Rattus norvegicus: one gene and its partners. The protein of the gene in region 3 binds, or shares a complex with, the protein of the main gene of each other region. Links are inferred from orthologs where the notes say so. Each region holds a gene or a part of one and is shown on either strand. Other genes may lie near its edges.

Evidence for each region. Proteins that work in one complex are often made in the same cells at the same time.
Region 1: the proteins of Samhd1 (region 3) and Ccna2 are in contact, whole or in part, in a cryo-EM structure (PDB 9HIW), measured with the Homo sapiens proteins. The link is inferred for Rattus norvegicus from reciprocal best matches to the Homo sapiens genes SAMHD1 and CCNA2. Residues at the interface, in NP_056289.2 of Homo sapiens: Lys615, Ser616, Arg617, Val618, Gln619, Leu620, Phe621, Lys622; in NP_001228.2 of Homo sapiens: Met210, Ile213, Leu214, Trp217, Glu220, Val221, Glu224, Arg250, Leu253, Gln254, Tyr280, Ile281, Thr282, Asp283, Asp284, Thr285.
Region 2: the proteins of Samhd1 (region 3) and Dcaf1 are in contact, whole or in part, in a crystal structure (PDB 4CC9), measured with the Homo sapiens proteins. The link is inferred for Rattus norvegicus from reciprocal best matches to the Homo sapiens genes SAMHD1 and DCAF1. Residues at the interface, in NP_056289.2 of Homo sapiens: Ser616, Arg617, Val618, Gln619, Lys622; in NP_001336097.1 of Homo sapiens: Asn1090, Glu1091, Asp1092, Thr1114, Gln1116, Asn1132.

Annotation. Positions count from the first base shown.
Region 1 is NC_086020.1:121,353,872-121,360,305, forward strand, and holds the end of Ccna2 (cyclin-A2), read right to left. Parts: intron 5,741-6,434; coding exon of another isoform or gene 5,653-5,740; intron 4,656-5,652; coding exon 4,543-4,655; intron 4,361-4,542; coding exon 4,137-4,360; intron 3,536-4,136; coding exon 3,328-3,535; intron 2,737-3,327; coding exon 2,623-2,736; intron 2,306-2,622; coding exon 2,172-2,305; intron 1,895-2,171; coding exon 1,846-1,894; 3' UTR 1,492-1,845; downstream 1-1,491. Other genes in the region: Exosc9 (exosome complex component RRP45), read left to right, coding at 630-765, 892-970. UniProt on the Homo sapiens protein: Cyclin which controls both the G1/S and the G2/M transition phases of the cell cycle. Functions through the formation of specific serine/threonine protein kinase holoenzyme complexes with the cyclin-dependent protein kinases CDK1 or CDK2.
Region 2 is NC_086026.1:116,392,924-116,399,023, reverse strand, and holds part of Dcaf1 (DDB1- and CUL4-associated factor 1), read right to left. Parts: intron 5,536-6,100; coding exon 5,411-5,535; intron 2,246-5,410; coding exon 982-2,245; intron 500-981; coding exon 301-499; intron 1-300. UniProt on the Homo sapiens protein: Acts both as a substrate recognition component of E3 ubiquitin-protein ligase complexes and as an atypical serine/threonine-protein kinase, playing key roles in various processes such as cell cycle, telomerase regulation and histone modification.
Region 3 is NC_086021.1:166,199,797-166,205,896, forward strand, and holds part of Samhd1 (deoxynucleoside triphosphate triphosphohydrolase SAMHD1), read right to left. Parts: intron 4,759-6,100; coding exon 4,598-4,758; intron 2,760-4,597; coding exon 2,644-2,759; intron 1,211-2,643; coding exon 1,140-1,210; intron 1-1,139.

The DNA.
Region 1 (6,434 bases), on a different chromosome or scaffold from region 3:
CCTGGGTTCGATCCCCAGCTCCAAAAAAAAAAAAAAAAAGAAAAAAATGAATTAGGTAACTGGGTATTTTAAGGTAAAGAGCCTAATTAGGATTAGTGATGCTATTTCTTATCATCTCACTCTGCACATGTGTATACCTCTTTTCAGAGGCCTTTGTTTCTGGTTTTAAGAATCCCGAGCGGGGTTGGGGATTTAGCTCAGTGGTAGAGCGCTTGCCTAGGAAGCGCAAGGCCCTGGGTTCAGTCCCCAGCTCCGAAAAAAAACAAAAACAAAAAAAAACAAAAACAAAAAAAAAAAAAGAATCCCGAGCAGTGAAACACACAGCCAGCCAAATGGGCAAAGGGTTAAATTGCAAGCTTTATTTACACACATATATAATTACTGTTCAAGAGAAAAATGGCAAAAAAGCAGTTTTCTACAGTTTTCATGGTCAGCTCTGGTAGCAAGAACATCCTAGCTTACATGTCCTCTGGGAGAGAAAGAAAAAAAGAAAAAGCTTACAGAAAACATCAGTTTTTACAAATTTTCAGAGCTGCGAGGAGCTACTTAGAATAGGGTAAGATTTGGAAAGAGTATGTATCAGCCTCCAGGCAGCATAGTTGAGCTTTTAGTTAGCCTGGAAATGGGAGCATTAGGACCTCTGATGTGGTCAAGTAGTAAACTCCTTTTTTGGAATTTTCTTAAAGGTGCCCCTATAGTGCTATCAGATAGTGAAGAAGAAGAAATGATTATTTTGGAGCCAGAGAAGAGTCCAAAAAAAATAAGGTAACAAATTTCTGGTCTCTTTCAAATATACATTTAAAAACTGGCCGTAGTTCTATAAAATGGTCCAAGTGGTCTAATCCAGGACAGATGGGGGTACAGTGAGCTGTTATATTACTTTATTCACAGAGCTCAGACCAGTGCAAACCAGAAGGCACCAAGTAAAAGTCAAGGGAAAAGGAGGAAAAAGAAGAGAACTGCTAATTAAGCTAAAGTGGTGTGGATGTGTATGTATATATATATATAAAATATATATATATATAACTAATAAGAGGGTATTTGCTCAGTGCTAACAGCTCTGGATATTTTTTATTTGAAAATCTATTATGAGCTGAACTTAATAAACTGTTTTGTCTTTAACATTATGCTTCGAATAAACTTTCTGGAAAACTTTTCTGTTGCATAAAAGCTTCCCAATTCATGTAAAACCTTATTTGTAAAAGTTGGTAAATAAAATGTCTCCATAAACTACTGTAACATGTGAGCTCTGAATGAGTTCTGCTACACTGAAAACAGATTCATCTACTTTTGGTTACTTATAACCAAGTCAGAAACTTGGTTTGGTTGCTTACAATTATTAAAATCAATGTCAAAATTTGAAGGCATCTTTCCCTGAAATATTTTATTTTATAAAAAGCTTTCCCTACCCCACCCTCAACAATAAAACAAATCAAATTAGCTTTTTTAAGTGACATCATTCTTTTTGCCTCAAATTAACTTTGACTTGCAAAGATTTCTGAATCAATTTATTCTTATTATCCTGACAGTTGGCAGCACCAATGTTAACAAACCAATTAAAATTAGCCAAATTATCTATCACTTTCAAAGATTTCCAAATCAATTTATTCTTATTATCTTGACAGTTGGCAGCACCAATGTTAACAAACCAATTAAAAATTAGCCAAAATCTAAGATAGACACATGTACAAAAGATATACAAATTAAAACCATTTTAAAAGTAATGGATAACATAATTTGTCTGTGGCTATACCATCTACATTCAGAAATGATTGTGAAATTAAAACCAAAGATAAAAACTGTACAGCATGAACTCTGAGCGATTTCCATTTCAGTCTTTCACTCTCACACATTTAGTGTCTCTGGTGGGTTGAGAAGAGAAACACTGTGATATCTGTTAAGCAGAGGAAATAAAAACCTATTAGTAAACATTCATCGGGGAGATCACAGAACAAACAATTTATGCGTCCCAAGACTGGAGAAATGCTACTTTTATTTGATTAGACTAATGAGTTTAAAAACATTTGATACTTAGGACACATATCTGTTCCCTTACCCATCTCTTACCAGATGCAAAGGCACAAAAGCTTCCTATGTTGACATAAGATCTTACTGAGGTGGCTGTGGCATATTACTGTTATCCTTTAGTCAGTAAAGAATATGGTTCTTACTTTGAATGCTTGTACTTTTCCCTTATTGACTGTTGGGCATGCTGTGGTGCTTTGAGGTAGGTCTGGTGAAGGTCCATGAGACAAGGCTTAAGACTTTCTAGGGTATATCCAGTCTTTTGTACCAATGACTCAGGCTACAAAGAGACAACCATTGAGTTTTTAGTAACAGCACAGGGCACTGACCATGAACTCACAGTTGATCTAAATGTTGGCACTAATCTTTGACACATTTTTTAATTTTAATTTTTATAAATTTATTTACATTCCAAATGTTGACCCCTCCCCTTTGCCTCCGAGAGTGCCAACCCCCACATTTTAGCTCACTCTTTTGACTGTTTACTTCCCCTGCTCGCAGCAGGTGACTCAGACTCTAGAAGCAGAGCTTTCAAATGCAAGTTTAAGGTTAAGACAAAGAACACCAATACTTGTGAAGGCAACAGTTAATACATACCCAGCTTTGTCCTGTGACTGTGTAGAGAGCTAAGTGGAAGGCAGCTCCAGCAATAAGCGATGGCAAATACTTGAGGTATGGGTCAGCATCTATCAAACTTAACTCTCCCAAAAACTGCAATGAAAACCAAAACCAAAACAACTTTACAGTCACACATCAGACTCAGATTCAAAACCTTGCTTCTTGACCAGTTTCTATTGTCTTGGGTACTCTCACTGGTTCCGTACCAGCCCTGGGAAAATTATTTCAATGTTCTGCTCTATTCTCAGCTAATAACTTAAAACAGCTACTAGGATGTTCTCTTTAAACCACTAGTTAGTGCCTTTCTGGAATGGTCATCTTTGGGCCTTCATTGGAAAATTCTCTCCTGGACCTCTCAGCCCTTATCCACGGACACCAGATACTCAAGTCTCTTACATATGCCATTTCATAAGCTAATGCTACATGCATATCACTAGTACAATATTACGTGTAATACAAAAAAGATCGATTGATATGTGTTTATCCAGTACATAGGCAGTTACATTTAATGTCTGTTCATTGATTCCATATGCGCAGAGCCCACAGATATAGAGGGCTATAGGATTTTCTGTGTATTGGAGCATTAACTATCTGGAAATACTTTCTCTCTTAAGCAGTGTTATACAATGAAACTAAGGGCTTGCCCCTAATTGCAACCTAAAACAAACCCCAAACTGGACTTACCATCGCTAAGCTTTCTACCTTGCAGTTGGCAGGCTGCAGGTGCAGGAAGTACTGGGTAAGGAACTGATTTACTGTTGGTGCAGCCAAGTCAAAAGCAAGGACTTTCAATACAAGGTGCTCCATTCTCAGAACCTGCTTCTTGGAATAGGTATCGTCCGTAATATACACAAACTCTGCTACTTCTGGGGGGTATATTTCTTCAAACTTTCTATAACAAAAGAAGTTGTAAATGAGTTTTTTCAAAAGAAGGTCTTGTCTACATAGACTGTACTCTACTCACTTCCACCAACCACACTCCCACTGACAGTTGACTGCCATCTCTAGCTGAGATGATTAAAAACCAATTCATAGGCCCAAATCACTAAGGGACTTCTGATTTGTCTCCTGAATACAATTTTTTTTTAAATTTCCTGATGTAAGGAAGAATTTGTTTATACTCCAGAAAGCACTTTATTGTAGAAGAACCATACTTTCAAACTCTTCATCTAGTGTGATAAAATGTATTCTCATTCAAGGCATGTAAAATCCAGATCTGGAAAGCTTTATATTTTAGACTTGAAAACAAGTTTCACCCTCTACTCAGAATCATCCCATAGCCATCCCTAAAGGTGTCAGTGTTAAAACTGGGGGTTGAAGAGATGGCACAATGACTGGGACCCAATGCCCTCTTTTGGCCTCAGCAGGCACCACACATGTGCTACAGATACGCACGATGCACAAAGGCAAAACACCCAATAAAATATAAATGGAATATAAATGGGGGGAAGGAGTGGTGAGTGATGATTTTGAACCAAATTAGCTAGACTTACGAAGCTAGCAGCATAGCAGCTGTGCCCACAAGCTGAAGCTTTCCTCTTAACACAGACATGGAGGAGAGGAATCTATCAATGTAGTTCACAGCCAAATGCAGGGTCTCATTCTGTAGTTTATATTCTTCTCCCACTTCAACTAGCCAGTCCACAAGGATGGCCCGCATACTGTTAGTGATGTCTGGCTGCCTCTTCATATAACTCACTTTAGGTTTACATTTAACCTGAAGAAAAACTCAGTAGGGTTAATTAAAACTATGATTAGTTACTTCACCATTCACAAAGACACAATTAACATACACTGTAGCCGTTAAGTTTAGCGTTGGAGTAACTTGCTAGCAGTTAGCAGGTGTCCATCGTTAGCCTCTCTGCTTCACTTAGCCATTTTTGATGAACAGAGCCTTACCTCCATTTCCCTAAGGTACGTGTGAATATCTTCATGATAGTCAGGTACTTCATTAACATTCACTGGCTTTTCGTCTTCTAAGACAATAGATATATCCATAGCATGGGGTGATTCTGTGTATGACATTAAAGTCAAAGTATTTATCTCTTTCGATAAAAACACCCTAATGGCAAAGCAACACTGAATATCTTATTCTGGTTTTAGGGCTACTGTCCTCATAGCTCTAGGATAACCTTAATCCCAAAAAAGAAGTATACATCAGTAGGCTACTAAGAGGACTGAGAATTACCTTAACGTGTCATCTTCCTCAAGAGATGAGTAGATAATACAATGGTTCTGTTAGGACAAGTACTTAACATCAAATTTTAAAATAAATAAATAAATATATATTATGTATGTTTTGAGATCGCAGAACCTACAGGTTGACATAGTCAGATCACAATGAGGGAGTAACTAGAATTGGGTAAATGGCATATATTACCAAATGTTAGTAAAGATATCAAGTCTGTCATACCATGTTCAAACAGACTAACTATAATCTGTAAGGGACTTGGTGTTTGTTAAACAGGGTCTCATTCTGTGGGCCAGACTGGCCTGAAATTCACTCCGTAACCTAGGCTGACAATCTTGCCTTAGCCTCCTGAGTGCTATTGGGCATTAATATACTCAGCTCTAGTTTTTACCATTTAAATTATCTTGAGATAGGGGAATCTGTGTAATAATAGTTTCCATACCCTCCTCCTACCCCATCAGTAGAACTAAGTGAACTGGGGGGCTGGGAAATGGCAGTGCAGTGCCTGCTGGATAAGCATGAAGATGTGCATTGCATTCCCAGCACCACTCAAGCTAGATGTTGTGGCATTGTCTGCAACCCTAGACGGGAAGAAGAAAAAGGGTTGAAATACTCAGTTCCCTGCAGTTTGATGGCCAGGCTGTCTAGCCAAATCAGTGAGCCCCAATGAGACCTTTGATTAAGAAATGATATAGAAAAGTGATTGAAGATACCCCAAAGTCAAGTACTCTCTCTAGCCTCTACATGTACCAGCACAGGCAAGCGTAATACTCCTTCCCCTGGCACACATATAGCATAAGGTAGAAAGTGACAGATACCAACATCTCTGGTCTCCACAGTGAGATCATAGCACCGGCAGAGCTGTCTATAGCAGCTATTCTGCCTTCCATGTGTCTGACCTGCAATCTGACAAACATTTAAATTAGTTTTAAAGGAATGGCAGATATAATGCTTAAAACTGTAGGCTCAAGGAGCACTCTTAGGACTGGCATGTTAAGAAGTGAATCATACATAAAACTGAAATCTATTATCTCAGCCAAACACTTATAAAGTCATATTAAGATAGGCATTTAAGATCTAATTAAAATTGATGTAGCTTTGTCCAGCAGTGCCCTCCCTGCTGGTTAAGGATTTGAGTCCTTTTATAGGTCAGTGGATCTGTGATCCTTTCTAAGCCCACTGTAGTAATCTTAACTCACTGTGTTATGAGCAGGTAAGCATAGTCTTAAAACTCAAAAATATCAACCGCAGGACTTTTGGTGACTGCAGTCGATCAGTGCTAAAGTACAGTGGTAAAATCCGTTAGTCATGGCTATGATGAACACATTTGGAGTGAAAATTTTAAAAATGCTACGTATTTTAAATATATTTGAAACGACATTTTGATTCGTAAACTGAATGTAAATAAACCTGAAATTTGCAAAATTAAAAAAAACCTCAAAAATATCACTAACCCAATTAAGTAACTAATTTTTTAGCTTAATAACAATCTTTAGAGTATGCCAAGCAAGGTACGGATGGTGCCAGGCCTGTAATCTAGAATTTGAGAGGCTGAGGCAGGACGGTTTGAGTTCAAGGTTAGTCTGAGCTACAGATTGAG
Region 2 (6,100 bases), on a different chromosome or scaffold from region 3:
ACGTAGCTAAAACTCCCCTATCAAAAGATGGCCAAGTATTTCATTTCCCTTCTGAAATCTGATTCCACATCAACTCTAGTTAACCATTCGTATAAAATAAAGTCCAATAAATGGTAAAACTCTTTCAACTCTAGCTCCCCAATCAATCTCAAAATGAGAGCACCCAGGGGTTGGGGATTTAGCTCAGCGGTAGAGCACTTGCCTACCAAGCACAAGGCCCTGGGTTCGGTCCCCAGCTCCAAAAAAAAGGAAAAAAAAAAAAAAAAAAAAACTGAGAGCACCCAGGAAAGGAATCCTCACCCTCGACGGTTCAAGATGTGTGATGGCAGAATTGTGACAGTTGTAGCTGGCCTCTTCCTGCCCACTAAAAACATTGTAGAGCTTCAGCTGCCCTGTGCAGGTGCCAAGCATCAGGAAGCGCTCCCGGGCCGAGAAAGCACAACAGGTGAAGCCACTTTCATCCTCATTAGCTTCCCGGAACACTGAAATAGGACGGAATCTAAACAAGGGGGGATATAATCAGAAAAAAGAATGTGGGGGAACTCTGAAAAACAAATTTTGCTAGATGTTGTAAGGAAAGAGTATTATGTTTCAAAATGTGGATTCTAAAGAATTACACTGGCATTCAATAATTTAAATTTTCAATTAAAAAAAAAAGACTTGTAGAAAGTGTGCAGACAGATAATCTGTATCTATGATTTATAAAGAAAGAGACAGTTTGAGCAATGGCGGGAAACAATGAATTGTTTAAGTCCTAAAGCAGCCTACTGGGTGTGACAACAGCAAAGGTATGTAAGCACTGCCAAGAATCTAAAGAAGTCCATAACTGACTGATCAGCTCACATAGCACATGAAGGACACTGAGTTAATCAATACTGCAGGCCAGCAAATGACTTTAACTAATCACTCAGTGATGATACTAACCAAACACTGATTTAAATAAAAGAATCATCCCAAGGAATTCAGGGAGCCTCTCCTTACCTGCTAAAGATAAGGTGCCTATCAAAGCATCCACCATCCACCCCTCCATATTTTGGAAATGATGCCCTGCGGTTTAGCCTTGAGGTAAAGTTTATTGGCGCCTGCCGCCTCTGTTTTGGCTCAGGACACTGATGAGGAGTAAAGAGAGAAAAAGGAGGACAGGTGGCAACGGGGTTCTTGCATCGAGCATGTTGCTCTCTAAGATACTCTGTGATGATACTGTCCAGCGTAGGTGGGGAAGGAAGATGTCTATCCAATTGTTTTTTTATGGCAGGGCTCTGGCTGTATGCACCATGGTCCGACTTCTGCCGCAACACTCGAATTTTCCTGCCATTGCAAGGTGATGGCCTCTCTCTGATAAAACTGATCCTACCAATCAAAGGAGAGTTGCCTGCATACGATGGGCCAGGCAAAGCCAATGAACCCTGGGGGGGGCGTGGTGGAGGATGGGCCGGGGGAGCAGAAGGGGCAGAAGCACCCACAGCAGCATGGCTGCCCAGTCGACTTGCAATGCCGTTGGCAATCCGAGGGGTCCGGGGAAGAGAGACAGGAGAAGCAGCAGCAGTTACTGGGGTGAAAGCAGAAGAATGTGAGGCAGCAGTCATGGGCAGGTCAGCCTCTCTCGTCAGCACAGTTGCTGTCTCTCCAAGCCCTTTAGAAATGAGATGGTTCCGGATCAACAGGAGCAGCTCTTTCTCAGGGAAGGAGATCCTCGACTGAGCAACAACATCTGCTTTCTGCAGTCGTGCGAGAGACACATCAGTGCCAATGAGAAGAGGCTTTCCTGATACACGCTCAATGAGCTCAGCAGCGTACTTGCAGAACTTGACATGGTCACTACGCTTATCCTGCAGCACAGGCTCCTTCATCAGCTGTTGAATCTGGCAGCTACTGAAAAGGGGAAGTTTACTGATGATCTGCCGAACAGTGCTACTTCGAGAGAGGCCCACAAGGGCCTTGCAGGCCAGGGCCCGGATCTGGTCTGCATCTGTAATGGGCATCTTGATGGACAACAGGGACAGAAGCACCTTGATGCCATTGTTGGACTGGACCACATTCCACATCTTGGCCAGCGTATGCTCACTGCTTTTGGGGGTCTGAGACAGCTTTCTCCGAGGAGTTCCAGAAATAAATTTGCCAATACTGGATATTCGGTTATCTGGGCCACATACACAATTGATGATAATTTGAAGTGCTGACTTCTGAATTTCAGCATCATGGATAAAGAACTCACCCTCAGCCACTCCCAAAATAATGCTGATACCTACAACACAGAAAAAAAAAATATATTATTCTTCATAAAACTAATAGCTAGAAGATCCATGTCAGCATATTACAGGAACACTTTATATATCCATCTTTACTGTGCACTATTAACAACAGCCAAGTTATGGGCTCAGTATAAGCATCCATCAACAGACAGATGGACAAAGAAGGCATTGTGCGCGATGAATCTTACTCAGCAATAAAAAAAGAATGAAATTATGTTATTTTACAAGAAAATAGATGGAGCTGGCATAATGGCTTATTGAGTAAAAGCTCTTGGCATCAAGCCTCCAGATACGAGTTTTATCCTAAGAACTGACATTTGTGGAGAGAACTTACTCCAGTAAGTACATTACCCTCTTATCCTCCACATATACACCATGGTATGCAAGAACACACACAAATCAAATAAGAAAATGGATGGATCTCAAGATATGTTATATATGTTATATCTAAAATATAACATAATCCATATACAAAATCTAGAATTAAAATGAAAAAGAAGAAAAACCCAGACATCTAGGGTGGCAGCATTCGAAAGCCAAGGTAGGAAGATACTAACAATTTCAATGCAAGCTTGGCCTACATAGTAAATTTCAGGTCAGCCTGGACTAGAGTAAGAACCTGTCTCAAAAGAAACTCACACCAAAAATGGCATGGAACTAAAATGGACCCTAACTAAGAGAAAAATGGTGACCCTTTTGGTTTATTTTATTGTTTTGTTTTGTTTATGAGACAGTCTCTCTCTTCACAGCCCTGGCTGTCCTAGAATTCACTCTGTAGACCTGGTTAGACTCCGACTGAGAGATCCACCTGCCTTTGCCTCCCAAGTGCTGGGATTAAAGGCATACACTACCATGTGTGGCAAAGGAGGGGTCTTAAAAAGGGAAAAGATGAGGGTGCTGGGAGGAAGACAAACAAAGTGAAGCATTCTGTCTTATATACAGAATCTGAATTTAAATACGCGTGCACGGGACATGATAGCAGAAGAGGGTGGGAAGGAAGAAGTGGAAAGTGTATGTGAGCAAGGTACCTTTACTTTAGAGAGTTTTAAAAGGGCCAAGGAGATGGCTCAGAGGGTAAAAATGCTTGCTGTGTAACGTACAAGCCTGATGAGTTGAGTTTGACAACCAGAACCCATGTTTTAAAAAAAACAAAATGCTGGATGCTGTACTAATCTGTAATAGCAGCACTTCCACAGGAAGACAAAGATGATGGGCAAACAGACTGCTTAGAAGTTCACAGAATCCACAGCAACAATATAAGAGGAAAGAGCTAACACCCAAAAGCTAGTTGTCTTCTAGTCTCTACATGTGTTTCATCTACAGGAACACAAACACACGAACACACACACACACCCCTCCCTACTCCCTCCTCCCTCCCTCCCTCCCTCCCTCTCTATTTTTTTAAACAAAAGCTAATGGCTGCCAGGCAGTAGTGGTACATGCCTTTCAGAAGCAGGGGCAGGTGGATCTATGTGAATTTGAGGCCAATCCAGTCTACAGAGCAAGTTCCAGGACAGTCAGGGCTACATAGAGAAACCCTGTCTCAAAACAAAAACAAAAAAAACAACAAACAAACAAAAACATTAATGACTGCTGCCCCCAGTGTTGACACAACTTCATAGTTTGAAATTCTATTCATTTCACTCTACTTAAGAAAGAAAGGAAGGAAGAAGAAAAAAAAAAAATGCTAGCCACACATGGTGGTACACACGAATGTATCCAGCGTGCAGTAGGTGGAGGTCGGTCATCCTCAGCTATATACTGAGTCAGAGACCAGCCTGGAATACATGGAACCCCATCTCAACACAAGCCATCCAAATACCAGCCAACCAACCAAAAAATAGTACAAGAATCATTCTGCTACATTCTCTGTGCCTTAATGGTATAATATCTCATGTATACTTTAATACAGAGGGATAATGGGAAGTGTGAAAGTCACCAAAGTCTGTGTGCATATTTCCTAGGTAAAAGGGACAAAAGCAGTCATGATATTAAAACCTTCATGGAAAAGCCACATGCACTCAGCTTAGCCACTATCACAGCTATAGGAACCTTATCCACTATTAAAAGATTAAAAATAGGTGCTTGAGCCTTAGGCAGTGTCATTCCTGGGCATTGGCCTGAGGAGCTCTAGTCATCACTTCACCTTAGCAACCTTCTCATACATGCTTTCTTCTTTGCTGTGTTTCTGAGATAGTCCTCAGTCAGGTTATCAAGCTCTTGTCCTTCATTGTTTGTCCCAATTTAGTAATTATCATAAAGGGAAGTCCTGGGAATTGCACAAACACAAGTGCAGAAATATCTGAACCACTTAGAAAGCCAAATTTTATTAGTATGACTCTCTTTGTAAGAACTGTATGGTGCCAGTTACAGTAGACAAAGTACCCTACTCTAGAACCGTCTATACCAGTGGTTGGTTCTCAACTTTCCTAATGCTATAATTCTTTTTTTTTTTCTTTTTTTCGGGGCTGGGGACCGAACCCAGGACCTTGCGCCTCCTAGGCAAGCGCTCTACCACTGAGCCAAATCCCCAACCCCGCTATAATTTTTTAATACAGTTGTGGTTACCCTCAATCATAAAATATTTTTCATTGCTATTCCAGAACTATAACTTTGCTATTGTTATGAATCAATGTAAATATCTGATGAGCATGATATCTGATATGCGACCCAGGAAAGGGCTTTCAACCTCAAAGAGGTTACAACCCACAGGTTGAGAACCACTGTCCTATTTTAACATCCTGAAATTAGGTTACAAATGAGACCATATGAGCAAAGGCAAATCTACCACACAACAACAGCAATGGCAAGGTACAACTGACAGATAGTTTAGTCTGTAAATTATCTGCCTGGCCACCACAGGACTGAAGTTTGAACCCTAAAACCAACCAGAAAGAGAAAAGAAAAAAAGAAAAAAAAAAAAGCCAGTTCAGTCAATCTATGCATGGTGATGCATGTTTGTATCCTAATACTGGGGAAGAAGAAGAAAACCCATGATCAATGACGAACCAGCCTAGCAGACTTGGTAAGTTCCAGGTATCATCAAGAAAAACAGTTGATGTCTGAAGAATGACAGCTCATGTTGTCCTCTGGCCTTCACACACATGCATATACCTGTATATTCACAAAAACCAGCACAGTAACAAGGTGCAACCCACCTACAGTGGAGACAGTAGAGCCAGCCTCGTCCAGTACATCCACTGACTCTGCCAACTGGAGCTGGATTTTTGGCACCACAGTGAGAATAGCCAGGACATCCAAAGCAAAGCGCACAGTGTCATTCCTAAATAGGAAGAAGAATTGGTCAACAAGGAACTACCATGGCAAAAATAAATAAATAAATTTAAAAAAAAACAAATATATGACAGGTTGAAGCCATTTAAACAGTTCTATTTTTTTAAATACTTAAAACTATGAGAATATGCTGGATACTCTTAAAAATAATCTGGAAGTCAGACAGTGGTGGCACACACCTTTGACCCCAGAACTTGGAAGGCAGAGGCAGAGGCAGAGGCAGGAGGATCTCTGTGTATATGTCACCAGCCTGGTTTACAGAATGAGTTACAGACAGCCAGGGCGACAGAAAAACCAGGTCTCAGGAAATCAAAAAAAAAAAAAAAAAAAAAAAAAAAAAAAAAAAAAATCTGGAGCTAAGAAACGGTGGTGATTACATTTACTTACTAGTATATTTGCCACAGTCTCCTTCCATCATGTTGATTCCAGAGATCAAAACAGGTCACCAGGCTTGGAGGCAATTTCTTTTCCCATTGAACCAAATCACTTGCCCAAAACAGGAATTTTTCTTTTTCTTTTTTTAAATAATATTTTAAAAAATATTTATTTTATGT
Region 3 (6,100 bases):
GAAAACAAGCCGGGCCACAGGGAGGGCTTTCTGAACGATGAGAATGGTCCACATCCCCACTGCATGTGTACACTTGCCAAACTCAAGTCAGCTCTCCACAATCTCAGCCGGGAGTCATAGTACGCGCTTTATATCCCAGCTCTAGAGAAACGGAAGCAGGCAATCTCCCAGTTTCAAGGCCAGCTCAGTCTCCAAGGCCACCTTGTCTCAAAATAAAAGCGCCACCACAAAAATCTGTGTAATTTAGTGAATGCAATATACTCCAAAAAAAGGCAGAGAAAAAAAAAACAGTTTGGCATAAGCTTTCGGCTAAGGTTCCTGTGCTTTTTCCTTCCCAGTGTAGTAGAAACCAGGAAGTCAATTCCATTTCTCAGAAACTGCTTCAAAATGTCCAGGTTCATCACCAGTAAATGCGTAATTATAAAGGGTTCACTTAAAGCTTGGGGTGAGGGCGTAACATCTCAGCATTGGGGAGGTTGCGGCAGAGGGAGCGGTCAAAGTCAATCTAGACTATACAGGAAAACCCTGTATTAAAAACAAACGCTCAATGACTAAAACCAGTGACGCTTAACTATACCAAAATAAAAACTGAAGCTGGGCTTTAAAAACAAACTCTAGGGGCTGCAGAGATGGCTCAGAGTTAAGAGCACTGACTGCTCTTCCAGAGGTCCTGAGTTCAAGTCCCAGCAACCACATGGTGGTTCATAATGACCTATAATGAGATCTGGTGCCTGAGGATTCTGGTTCTGCAGGCAGAATGCTGTATACATTATATATATATATATATATATATATATATATATATATATATATATATATATATATATCTGCAGTAATGTGACAGAGTAGAAAGGATGCTGCTCTGAACCAGGAGGGCTGGCTCTCTAGGGCTGGTCCACCACTCCATGGCTATGTGCAGTCAGGCACATCTCTATGTTCCTGAGGACTCTGAATGGAAGATAAGGTTCTTTCTCCACAGGCTACTGTGAGGACTGAAACAGACACAGGTGAACAGAAGGACCCTGAATGCTGTTCCAGGGAAGGATGCTAGAGCACAGAGAGGGAAAACAGAGAATATAGTTGAGTAACTAGATAAGATTCTGTTTCTTTCCACTGACTTTGGGACACGGAATACATACCCTCCACTTTATGTCTGGGCGAGCAAGTGGAATAAATCTTCCATCAAACATATGGGAGAATGGCCCATGACCTAAAAACAAAAGCAGCCTTCAAATAAAAAAATATTTGTAAATTGGTAAAAACTGAATTCTTTTTTTTTCTTTTTTTCGGAGCTGGGGACCAAACCCAGGGCCTTGCACTTGCTAGGCAAGCGCTCTACCACTGAGCTAAATCCCAAACCCCAAAAACTGAATTTTAAAAAAAATTTTTTTTAGTTTACTTTGAATATCTGTTACTGTTAATAATATATAAATTAACGAAGCAAAACAAAACAAAAAAAAAGGACAAATCTGCCCTTTCAATTTTCCAGAACAACAGAATAAGAAGCAAGGCCATATCATATTGGATCTTAGATCTGTCTCCTGTTTTGAATTTACTACAAGGAATACTAAAGAGTTTTCATAAAATAATCAAGGTTTATTTATTTCGGGCTGGGGTTGCAGCTCAGAGGGAGAGCAAAGGCCTAGCACGTACAGGTTCTGCATTTGAGTCTGACAGCCCAAACCAAAATGCAGAGAAGAGCCAAGCATCTTCTAAGAAGGGCTGCCGAGCCTCCTGGACTCTACGGGCTGACAGAAAGACAGTGCTCCACACTCTGCTCCTTTAGGGTCTGCCCACAGAAGTGTGCATGCATGCTCGCTCTCTCTCTCTCTCTCTCTCTCTCTCTCTCTCTCTCTCTCTCTCTCTCTCCTGTAACTAAACAGCAGCTGGGGCAGTCAACTTTTTCTTCCTCAAGATGAAAAGGATGAAATTCTTCTACTTGAGTTTAATTGGCCTAAGACCTCCTATGAGTCAGGGAAGAACATTTTTTCTAAACCTGTGATAATTGTGAGAAGGGGTGGATTTTACAAAGGAACTAAAGGAAAAAGCTATTTTACTCAAATCCCATCACATTCTCCCAAAGACAGAATAAGAGAAACTCAGGGCACAAAGCCCTTTCAGCCCAGGGCACTGGCTCATGGTTGTAATCTCAGCATGCTGGAGGCGGAAGCAGGAGGACTGCCAAGAGTTAGAGGCTAGCCTGGGCTATATAGTGAGTTCTAGGCCAGCTTGGGTTACACAGTAAGAACCCTATCTCATAAATTAATTAATAAATAATAAATAAATGAATGATGTCTTTCATGTGACATGGTAAAAATGCTTAATACAGAAAATTCCCAAGTCATAGCAATGTTTTTGTCCTTATCAGTATTAGGAAGTACTGTGATTAATAAAAAATTAAAAATACTCCCAGGTGCTAGTGGCACACATCTTTAATCCTAGAGGGAAAGGCAGTGGGTTTCTGAGTTTGAGGCCAGCCTTGTCTACAAAGTGGGGCGACAGGAAGAAACCGTGTCTCAAAAAACCAAAGGGCAGGGAGGAAGAAAAGAAAAATGAAAACTCTCCTACGTTTCCTTTGGCTAGAATGCCGAGACGAGGTGACATGGTAGGACCTTACACAAGATGCTAGCTCTGTGATCTTACCAAGGTCATGGCAGAGCCCCGCGATCTGAACACAGAGCATATCTCGTTCACTGATCTGCAGCTCTGGCTGTTTTTCGGCAAGCGCTCGCACGAGGCAGCCTGCTAGGTACCCCACTCTGCGGAGAAGAAGACCGAAAGTCACACCGAGGTTCAAAAGATGAAAGCTACCTTTGGAACTTGACACTTTGATCTCTGAGCAGTGTCTCTGTGATGTTCCAACACAGACTGAAGATGAGGGCTTCGCGGGGCTGAGGTGGTGGCTCTGTGGGGCACCTGACTCGCATGTGTAAGACCCTGGGTCTAATCCCCAGCAAGGCAAACCAAAACAAGATAAACAAAGGCACAAAAAATGATAAATGCACTTTCAAGCACTTCTCTCTGAAAGCAATTCCTAAAAATAATAGATATATTCTTTCCTCTGCCCTAACTCAGCTCTAGGAAGGCAGACAACTTGCTTGTGCCTTGGAAGGTTCTAGAAAGTGTTCATAAATGTTGTTTATAAATTGGGTATAGGTACATGCATCTTGACTATTGAACCCGGACAGAGTGGCACACACTTGTAACTTGTGTATTTGCAAGGCTAAGGCAGAAGTATTAGGCCTAGAAGTTCAAGGCCAGCCTAGGCTGTTTACTGAAACCCTGAACAAAACAAAGAAAGAAAGAAAGGGAAAAGCCTAGATAACAAATGGAAACCACAGGGTTGGGGATTTAGCTCAGTGGTAGAGCGCTTGCCTAGCAAGCACAAGGCCCTGGGTTCGGTCCTCAGCTCCAGAAAAAAAACAAAAACAAACAACAACAACAACAAAAACAAATGGAAACCACAAAGTACGTAAAAATAATCAAATACTGGGGCTGGAGAGATGGCTCAGCGGTTAAGAGCACTGGCTGCTCTTCCAGAGGTCCTGAGTTCAATTCCCTGCAACCACATGGTGGCTCACAACCATCTGTAATGGAATCTGATGCCTTCTTCTGGGTGTCTGAAGACAGCTACAGTTTACTCATACACATAAAATAAATCAATAAATTTTTTTTAGAAAAGTCAAATAGTGGGGCTGGAGAGTTGGCTCAGAAGTTAAGAGCATTGACTGTGGGGTTGGGGATTTAGCTCAGTGGTAGAGCACTTGCCTAGCAAGCACAAGGCCCTGGGTTCGGTCCCCAGCTCCGAAAAGAAAAAAGAAAAAAAAAAAGAGCATTGACTGCTCTCCCAGAGGTCCTGAGTTCAATTCCCAGCAACCACATGGTGGCTCACAACCATCCGTATTGAGATCTGATGCCCTCTTCTGGCCTGCAGGCATACATGCAGGTAGAAAGCTATATGTTGTATACATAATAAATAAATATTAAAAAAAAAAGAAAGAAAGAAAAGTCAAATAGTGAACTCTGAATTACTCTCTGCCCACTTCTCCTGGCTCTACACGCATGATGGGAAAACAGCGAAGTCTCAGCTTCACTGCAGAGCAGAGGCAACCCTCTCAGAGCTTACGAGCATTTCTCTAAATTTCCTGACACAATCACTTTGTTTAAAAAGGTGACTCTACACAACAAAAGGGAGCCAGGCGCGGTGTCCAGAATCTCAGTTCTCAAGAGATGAGACGGGAGGACTCTGAGTTTGAGGTCAGCCTGAACCCCACTGGGTGCCCCTGTCCCCAAAGAAAGGAAATGAAATGACTGACTGGGTGGGGACTGAAGGAAAACTAATTAAGCGTCTACTCAGTCATACCAGCAGCCAGCCCTATTCAATTCGAGTACTGAAGTATTCAGACAAGTATTTAACCCAACTGAAGACGGATCGGCAAACATCAGGATTCGGAAAGATATGAAGTAGTTTAAAAACACACACATAAAATAAACGAAATACGGTTGACAGGAATCCAATACAAAGAAGACGTTACAACGACCACTTGAAAAGGTAACTCTCTAAGGGATTAGAGGAGCCTCCCCTTTCCCTCCTTACCCGAGACTGTGTTCAAACCGATTGTGTGACGCGCCAGGGAAGACGTAGTAACCGCCTCCCAGCTGCTTGATGTAGCGAAGCCGCTGGAACTGAGGTGTGTCAATGATTCGGATGAGGAGGGGGTGGAATTCAATATGGCCATGAATAGGATCGTTAAATACCTGGAAAATTCAGTTTAAAAAGTTGTCCTCTGACCTCCATATGCCCACACTGGCACCTGCACGTCCCTCCATCACACTTACCCAGAACCAATAAATACAATTTTAAAAACTACCTTTAATAGCAAACATCAGAATATAGTTTCCTTTCTATGTTAAAATGAACAGTCAATGTTTTATATTTTTATATAATAATCATTTTAGTAACTCAATTACATTAATGAAAGTTAATTAAAATTCTTTAAAAAAAATCGATACTCTTATTTTATGCCTGTCTGCCTATGCTTGTGTACCGTGTGTGCTTGGAGAATATTAACCTTTTTCATCCCCATAAAGCCATTTGATGACTATTATAAACTACCAAGTTCATCACCCTTAATAATACTCAGGGAATGGCATCAAAGTCCTTAGGAAGAGAAGGAACTGAGATCAAAATGAAGTCCTCAGGATGTCATTTTGTGTAAGTTATTATTGGTCAGGTTCAATGACCTCTAAATATTTAATCACAACAAAGGTATTCCTCCTAACACAAGGTCAACCTAATCACCACAGGTAAGGGAGAACCTATTTTATTACTGAAGACTAAAGAAAGTAGATAGCCTACTTTTAATCCATTTAATAATGCCTTTATTGTCATTTCTCAAGTAGTCATACCTACTCATAAAATATTTACATCATCCTATTAAGCTTTTTTTTTAAATGAGCTCAGCAAAAGCTACTTTTTTTAAAAAAAGATTCATTCATTTATTATATATAAGTACACTGTAGCTGTCTTCAGACACACCAGAAGAGGGCATCAGATCCCATTACAGATGGTTGTGAGCCACCATGTGGTTGCTGGGAATTGAACGCAGGACCTCTTGAAGAGTAGTCGGGTGCTCTTAACCGCTGAGCCATCTCTCCAGCCCAAAAGCTACTTTTTGAGACAGGTGGGCAGACAGGAGAAACTGCTGTGTAAGCATGCCGTGAGTTCAGTTCCCAGGACACACAGTAGAGAGAACCCACTCTATGGAGTTGTCCGCTGACCTCCACATGCCCACTCTGGCACACCAGTGCCCCTCCATCAACAAACACGGAAACATTAAAACTACCTTTAACAGTTAATATCATAATTGATACAGTCCACTTTTAAGATAAAAATGAATAGTCAACACTTTATACTCTTATATAATAATCATTTTAAAGGCTCTGCCTTCCAAGTGCTGGGATTAAAGGTGTGTAACACTACACCTGGCTGTTGTGGTTTGTCAAAATTACTGTTCTATTGCCACGACAGGCAAACTATGTAAGAAAGCATTTAATTGGGGTCTGGAAGTTTCAGAGTGTTAGAGACCACAATCAAATC